Linked DNA regions of Mus musculus. The protein of the gene in region 1 purifies or fractionates together with the protein of each later gene. This does not show direct contact. Links are inferred from orthologs where the notes say so. Each region holds a gene or a part of one and is shown on either strand. Other genes may lie near its edges.

The links. Proteins that work in one complex are often made in the same cells at the same time.
Region 2: the proteins of Prkag3 (region 1) and Pfdn6 purify together in Homo sapiens (affinity purification with mass spectrometry; 3 studies listed by BioGRID and IntAct, with this or other methods). This does not show direct contact. The link is inferred for Mus musculus from reciprocal best matches to the Homo sapiens genes PRKAG3 and PFDN6.

The regions. Positions count from the first base shown.
Region 1 is NC_000067.6:74,746,135-74,749,803, forward strand, and holds the start of Prkag3 (5'-AMP-activated protein kinase subunit gamma-3), read right to left. Parts: upstream 2,822-3,669; 5' UTR 2,717-2,821; coding exon 2,684-2,716; intron 2,378-2,683; coding exon 2,338-2,377; intron 1,891-2,337; coding exon 1,738-1,890; intron 1,425-1,737; coding exon 1,018-1,424; intron 1-1,017. UniProt on the Homo sapiens protein: AMP/ATP-binding subunit of AMP-activated protein kinase (AMPK), an energy sensor protein kinase that plays a key role in regulating cellular energy metabolism.
Region 2 is NC_000083.6:33,938,298-33,941,757, forward strand, and holds Pfdn6 (prefoldin subunit 6), read right to left. Parts: upstream 2,047-3,460; 5' UTR 1,791-2,046; coding exon 1,727-1,790; intron 1,522-1,726; coding exon 1,451-1,521; intron 1,367-1,450; coding exon 1,242-1,366; intron 815-1,241; coding exon 691-814; 3' UTR 612-690; downstream 1-611. Other genes in the region: Wdr46 (WD repeat-containing protein 46), read left to right, coding at 2,352-2,462, 2,588-2,794, 2,895-2,975, 3,109-3,221, 3,336-3,423. UniProt on the Homo sapiens protein: Binds specifically to cytosolic chaperonin (c-CPN) and transfers target proteins to it. Binds to nascent polypeptide chain and promotes folding in an environment in which there are many competing pathways for nonnative proteins.

The DNA of each region.
Region 1 (3,669 bases):
TTGTGCCCAGAGGGACTGAGGGCCCATTATTTGACACAGCAGTTTCCACAAGGAGGCCATGTGCATACAGACGTGGTGTAGTTTTGCTTATCTAACTACTAGAGGTAATACTTACTCACTCAATGGTTGCATAGCTGCATCAGTTTCTTCACTAAATTTGAGACTGACTTATTTTGACCCGTACCCTAAGTAACACTGCCCATATGTGCTAGCTGTATTTGGTTTTTATCTTTTCTTTCCTTCCTTCCCATCTCTTCTCCCCTTTCCCCAACTCTTTCCTCTTCTCTTCTGCCTTTACTTTCTGTTGCTGGTAGTGTGTTGTTTTGCTTTTATTTGTGTGCGTATGTATGTATGTATGTATGTTGTTGTTGTTGCTTGCTTGGTTTGGAGGCTGGCCTGGAACTCGAGACCCTCCTGCCTCAGACCCCTCAGTGCTGGTATTACAGATATGTACCACTGTATTCAAGTCTTTGACATACATCAAGATTTAAGCAAAGCTATTGCAATAATATATTTCTTGGTTAAACACCAGAGCCAGATTGTCTGTGGATGACATATGTATGCACCATGCCTTGAACATCATCTGCTCTGCAATAACAATGCTAAGGATGGAATCAGTCTAGTCTAGCCTAAGAGTAGTTACCATAGCTAGCACCCTCCTCTTGCTCCTCAGCAACTCTGCAATGTCTTATAGGGTTAACAGTATTCTTACTTTGTCCTGGGTTGTCCCAAGACTCCTTTGAAACAAGGGGAGCAAGCTTCTGATCCCCATTTTGGAGATGAAGGGGATAAAGTGGCCAACCCCGGGTTTAGCAGGTTCATGGTGACAGAGATGTGATGGCAATTAGGGGATCCCCACACAGCATGCTCTCTTAGTACTGTGTGTATGATGCTAAGAAGGAGTCCTAGAAAGGGACTTTCAGACAACCTGACAAGGCATCCAGGAGAGTATGGGTGGTAGCGACAGAGGCAGGAGGCAGAGCCACGTGATCAGGTAGGGTCAAGCCGGGATCTTACCTCCAACGTGGTGTCAAAGATGACCAATTTGGAGCTGGTAGCCATGGCATCATAACAGGTGTGTTCCTGCATGAAGTGCATGTAGACCTGGGCTCCGGGCTTCTGAAGTTCGTCATCCCAACTCAGGCCGAGAAGTGGGGCCTGTGGGGATGGACCAGGACGAGGCCTGTCCTTCCCCAGGCCTTCCAGCTCACAGTCCCAGGCCTCTGGGGCTGGGAACTCTATGGTCAGCTCCAGGTCACCTGTGCTGGAGCCCCCTGCTGAGGCTGCACAGTCGGGCAAGAGCAGGTCCCACCCTGTGGGGGAGGTCTCCGCTTCAGCCAAGGGAACAGCTTGAGCCAAGGGTGTGGCCTTCGGGAATGTGGCCTCCTGCCTGGTGGACTCAGCAGCTGGTCTGGACTGGGCACCTGTTGGGGGAAGAAGGCAGGGACGACAGTAACTTCATCTTCCAAAGCATGCTATCTGGGCTTTCAGGGTTTGGCAGCACAGGGGGCACCGGGATGGTAAAGAGTCTCAGAGTCCTAGCTGACAGCAACTCTGTTCCATCCCAAGGTGGCTGCACTGGGACCCTGGGTCATCACATAGTTATTGCCTCTCGTTTAGGGAGGCAGAGGCCACAAGGTGAGACTGTGTTTAAGTCCGTGTGATGGAGAGGCCCGAGGTCAAGCTCTGCTCTGGAATTCCTGCTGACCCTGTCACCATAACTGACCTTGGCCTCACCTTCTCCCAAACCTGGTGGTTCTGCTTCCTCTACGGCCTCCTGTCTCGTCCATCTGGAAGCCTTGACTCCCCGTATGGCACAGGTTCTTTCTGAGCTGGTGGCCACAGCTGGTGAGGGCCATGAGTTTTCTCCTTGTTCTAAGAAGTCCATCTCTGGAAGGAGGAAAGGAATCTCTTTGACTAGTAGGAAATGATACAACAAAACCAAGTCCCATGTCATTACTGAGCCTCTTGGAAGCTTTCAAAGCCCCCCTCCCCAAATATTTCTTGTTTTCTATTCATTGGAATTTTCCAAGATACGTATTGTAAATGGGAATAGCATTCCTATTTAGCCTCGAGGGACCGGAAACTCTGAGAGGTTAAGCAATTTACCACAAATTTCACAGCTGGAAAGTGGTAAGGTGGGGTTCAGATCTTCAGCAAAGAGGAAAGGGGAGGTGGGGGACACATTGGGAAAAAGAAGAGGGAGAAAGCTGAGAGGAGAAAGAATTTCTCCTGAAAAAAGCCAAGCTAGGGGTTAAGGACTGGGGTTCAAAAAGACGGAGGACAAGGGAGCTAAAGAGAAAAGGCTAGACCCACAGGGAGCGATACTCCACCCACCTTGACTCTCTGGACCCCCACTGTGGCTCCAGGTCAGGGTCTTTGGGAGAGAATGTCTGAAGTGAAAATGCTATCCGTTCTCAAGTCTCTGGGTTGTCCCCTTTAAAAAGCACACCCACCCCAAACACCACATGTATACAGATAGGCACAACTTGCACACCCCTGGTACACCTGGAACCTCACACAGGCACGTACACGCAAAATACATACATACACAGCACCGACCAGTTCACACACTCAGAGTACAGTGCACAGCAAGCACGCGGGCTACACACGGGCGCCCACACACAGCCACGCGCTTGCTGTCCTTCTCTGTCCCAGCGCCGGCCCCCTGGGACCCCGGTACCCCAGGCAATGTGTGCTCCAGCTCGGGCTCCATGCGGCCAGCTCTAGTCCGTTAGCAAGTGCGCGACAGGCGGCGGCAGGGTGGCACTATTCTGGGCTGGTCCCTGGCGGCAGGCCCTTGAGAGATCGGGTTCTCTCTGATTGTCAGGTCTTGGGAGGGAGCGCTTAACCCGCAGCTGTTCCCGCACTGCAGCTTGGGGGCGCTGCGGAGGCGGAACTCTCATCTTCGAACTGAAAGTTTTAAGGAGAAAAGTTGGCTTCCTTCACTTTCTCCTCCATGCAAACTTCCCTAGCCTAGGTGGGATGAGTTAGAAAGGATACACTCGAGGATAGAGAAGGGTAAGGGGGTTGTGAGTGATCCCGAGAGAGGAGCAGAGTATGTCAAGACATCCCATTTTGGGTCCTGCCACCCTATTCCCTTCTTAGGTGAAAGATGAAAGATGGAGAAGGAGAATCAGACCGGTGGGCACTCTGCTGGTCATCCCAAAGGTGAGAGATGGGGCAGAGGGAGTGGGCTTCACACCTGCGTGCAGAGGGAGCAGTACCTGAACCGACCTGTGCCTGCGGGATGAATGGATGTGCGGGAGTCCAGTCCCTAACCCACCATGAGTACTGACTCTGCATCTCTCTGTGCCAGAGGGGAACCCAGCCTGGCTTCTATGCGCCTCACCCCCTTCCTTGGCATTCCTAGGGCCTGAGTCAGAGTCCAAATGGGGAATGCTGAGCCAGCTGCTCTGGCTTTCCTCTCCCTGTCCCTCCCTCCCTCTTGTCATTCCAGTCTCTTCCATCGCGACCCTCTGAGTGGACACTCAGGAATGGACTATTGGGTTTCCTGCTGGATTTAGTGAACATATTTTCTTTTCTGCTTCAAAGCACCTGCAATGGCCTCCGAGGAGGGTGGAGAAGAACTGTGTGGGGGGGGGGGGCTTTTGCTTTTCATGAGTGTCCCTGGGACCAGATCTGTCGCCAGATAGTGGAACTTCTGAG
Region 2 (3,460 bases), on another chromosome or scaffold:
GAATCTGGAAGGAATTTCAAGATTAGTTAAAAGTTACATTCACTGACCAGTGTGGTGGCGCACGCCTTTAAACCCAGCACTCGGGAGGCAGAGGCAGGCGGATTTCTGAGTTCGAGGCCAGCCTCACTACAGAGTGAGTTCCAGGACTACACAGGGAAACCCTGTCTCCAAAACCAAAAAAAGTTACATTCAAACCAACCCTGAGAAGATAGACGGGGAAATCAGGTAACAGTCTAGGGCTAGGGCTGCTTGGGGAGACAAGTGCTCACCGTGAGTGACTGTCATTTCCTGGGCTCTCAGGCCAGAGAACTGAGTTCTATGGCAACGAACAACATGCTGCACTGTAGACAGTGTCTTCTCCCGTGTCTCCCGGTTACGCCAACCAACGTAGGGAAGTCAAAGGGTTGTATGTACAGGCAAGAAATAGCTTGAGACGTTTCAGACTAAAGTTTTGAAACTGAAGGGACCCAAGGAAACACCCTGGGCACAGTTCTCAGCCACAGGAAAGCAAAACAGAATCCGGCCACTGAGAGATTTCAGTCACAAGACCGTGAATCTCAAGAGGTGTAAAAGTGTACGGGAATGGAAGTACAGTGAAGAAAGACTGGCTGTAAAGTAGGCTTGGTTCTGTTTACATTTTATTGGCTCAGGGTTAGCCTCATCCCTCCCTCCTGACCCCCTCCCACGGGGTCAGGCTTTCCCAGGAGCCTTTGCAGCTTGGGCCCGCTGAAACTCCTGCTGCAGTTGAGCAAGGGTTTCCCTCTGTTGCTCTGACTGCCGCTCGAGGTCCCGAAGCTGTGATTCGTAGCGCTTGCTGAGGAGGGCAAAGGGAGGCAAACGGAGAGGAGATATCAGCCAGGGCTCAATGATATGGTGGAAGACTGGAGGTTTGTGGGACAGAAAGCGGGGATGGCACTAAGGGGAAGAGAGGGCTGCTGTCCTCCAAGGCTGGCACCTGAATTCAAGCTACAGAACCCCACAGTAGGGAGGCAAACATTCCCGCAGGTTGTCCTTTGACAAGTGCCCTCACCAGATGTCACACAGCAAGAAAGGCCAGGAGTGGTGCCACATGCCTTTAATCCCATCCTTTAGGAGGCGGCAGCAGGCGCATCTGTGTCAGGTCAGCCCCGTCTACAGAGCGAGTTCCAGGGCAGCCAGGACTTTACAGAAATGGGTAAGTGGAGAACTATCCAGCACGGGTTTAACACTTGTGCACTGAAAACGCCATCCGCAGGACTTACATTTCTGCTGTGATGTAGTCTAGCCTCTTCCCTACTGTGGCCCGAGCCTCCCCCAGCTCCTGTTTGACAAGCACGGGTCCCAGAAGCTTAAAGACCACGTTGGATCCATCCAGCAGGGCCAGCTCCTGAGAAGGGGATGAGGCAGTGAATGAGATGATCGTGCCCAGGAGAGTCCCTCCTCGCCCCCCACCCCCGCGTCCCATCCTCACCTCCTTCACGATATTGTTTTCCGTTAGCTGTGCTTCGAGCTTCTGCCTCCCTGACATAGATTTACTCAAGTCTGGGGTGGAGAGAGGAAATGCACGATTAAAAACATCAAATGGGCCCAGAACCGCGCAATTCTGGGGAGACTGGGTGTGAGGAAGAAAGCGACGATACCGAGGCGAGGGGTAACAAGATGCACCCCCGCAGCCCCCAATGGGGCGCGACGCTTCATCATAGATGAGAGCGGACAGGAGCGAGACCACACCAACTCCCTCTCTTACCCTTCTGCAGCTGTTGATATTTCTCTACCTCTCCCTGCAGCTTCTTTTGGATCAGTTCAGCCATGGTGAAGGAGAAAGCCTCCTGGGCGGGGGTCGCTGGGTCTCAAGCTCTGGGAGGCACCTGAATCCCCCCTCCCTGACCCTGCAGAAGGACAGCACTTTCTACCCGCAACTCTCCGAGGCGCCGCAGCCTCTTTTCGTCCAGAATAGCCACTCCCTAGGCAAAGGAGAGCGAAAGAAGAGATCCCCGAACCCTCCAAGCCAAACGCTAACCTCTTCACGCTCTACCCGCTGTAATCAATAAACCCGGAAGTAAACAAGGCATGACGGGAGAGAAAAAGACGGCGCCGGAAGTTACATTCCGATACATGCTGGAACATGTAGTTCTGACTTGTGTGAGGCTCGTTCGACCTAAAAGACTCGGCTCGAGAGGTTTTGGGCAAGACAGAAAAGTTAATATGGAAAAATCTAAGCTCATAGTTAACAAGATTCGGGGCTCATACATGCTTTTTAAATCTTTATTTGGTTATAAGCTGCTCCTCGGGCGATCCTCCCGGGCTCACAGAGGCATGCCCTCACTTAACATGGCGCCGGAGGCTTCAGACGCCGGTACGGCGCTGATTGGATGAAGGGGGGGACTTCCGGAAGTTTTCCTAGACCGCCGAGCTACTACTCAAGGGAGTTTCGCACGTGGATCGTTGTTCGGTCTTGGAGATGGAGACAGCCCCCAAGCCGGGTAGGGGTGTCCCACCCAAGAGAGACAAGCCTCAGGCCAAGAGGAAGGTAGCTTTGGTGGGAGGTGTCCGCGTCCCGGGCCCAGGCTCGGGCAGCGTGTGCGAAGGCTTTTCCTCTGCCCCTTAGAAACCGCGGCGCTACTGGGAGGAGGAGACCACCCCGGCCGCCGTCGCCACCTCCCCGGGGCCGCCTCGGAAGAAGGCGAGGACTGGGGAGTCGCGACCCCCGAGGTCCAAGAGCGCGCACATCGCCCAGAAGTCCCGGTTCTCCAAGAAGCCCCCGATCTCAAAGACCGCTCCAGACTGGAAGAAGCCTCAGAGGACGCTGTCGGGGGTGAGCCTGGGGTTGACAGGGTGGCGGTGCAGGTCGTCCCCGGAGATCGAGAGGAACCGGATCCATCAGAATCTGCCTCCTGCCTCCTTGTCCTCGCCAGGCTCAGGACCCGTTCCCAGGACCCGTCCCCGCCCCCCTGGAGGAGGCCCGGAAGTTTTGTCGAATTGACAAGTCCAAAACGGTGAGGACCGGCGGGCTGTCAGAGGGATTGGAGGCCGAGGGTTTGGATGAGGTGGTGGCGGCTTCCCCAGTGGTTTTCCTGGGACCCCCACATATGCTCTTCGGTTCTTGCAACCCTGTCAACAATGCCGTAGCTCCCACATTCGAAGCCTAAAACTCAAAGCAAACTCGAGAAGGCTGAAGCGCAAGAGGAAGAGGCAAGCGTCAGAGCCGCCCGCGCTGAGCTGCTGCTTGCAGAGGAACCTGGGTGAGTGGACCCCGACCTGGGCTTTCCCCGCTGTCCTGTCTCTCTGCGTTTTTATGTTTGTATGCCCGCTGCATGGTGGGGACCGTCACCGTCGTCATCCTAACTGCCTTTTAGGTTTCTGGTAGGAGAAGATGGGGAAGACACGGCAAAAATCCTGCAGACAGACATCGTGGAGGCTGTGGACATCGCCAGTGCTGCCAAGGTGAGCCCAGGCTGGGAGAGGAGCCTGGAGACTCGGG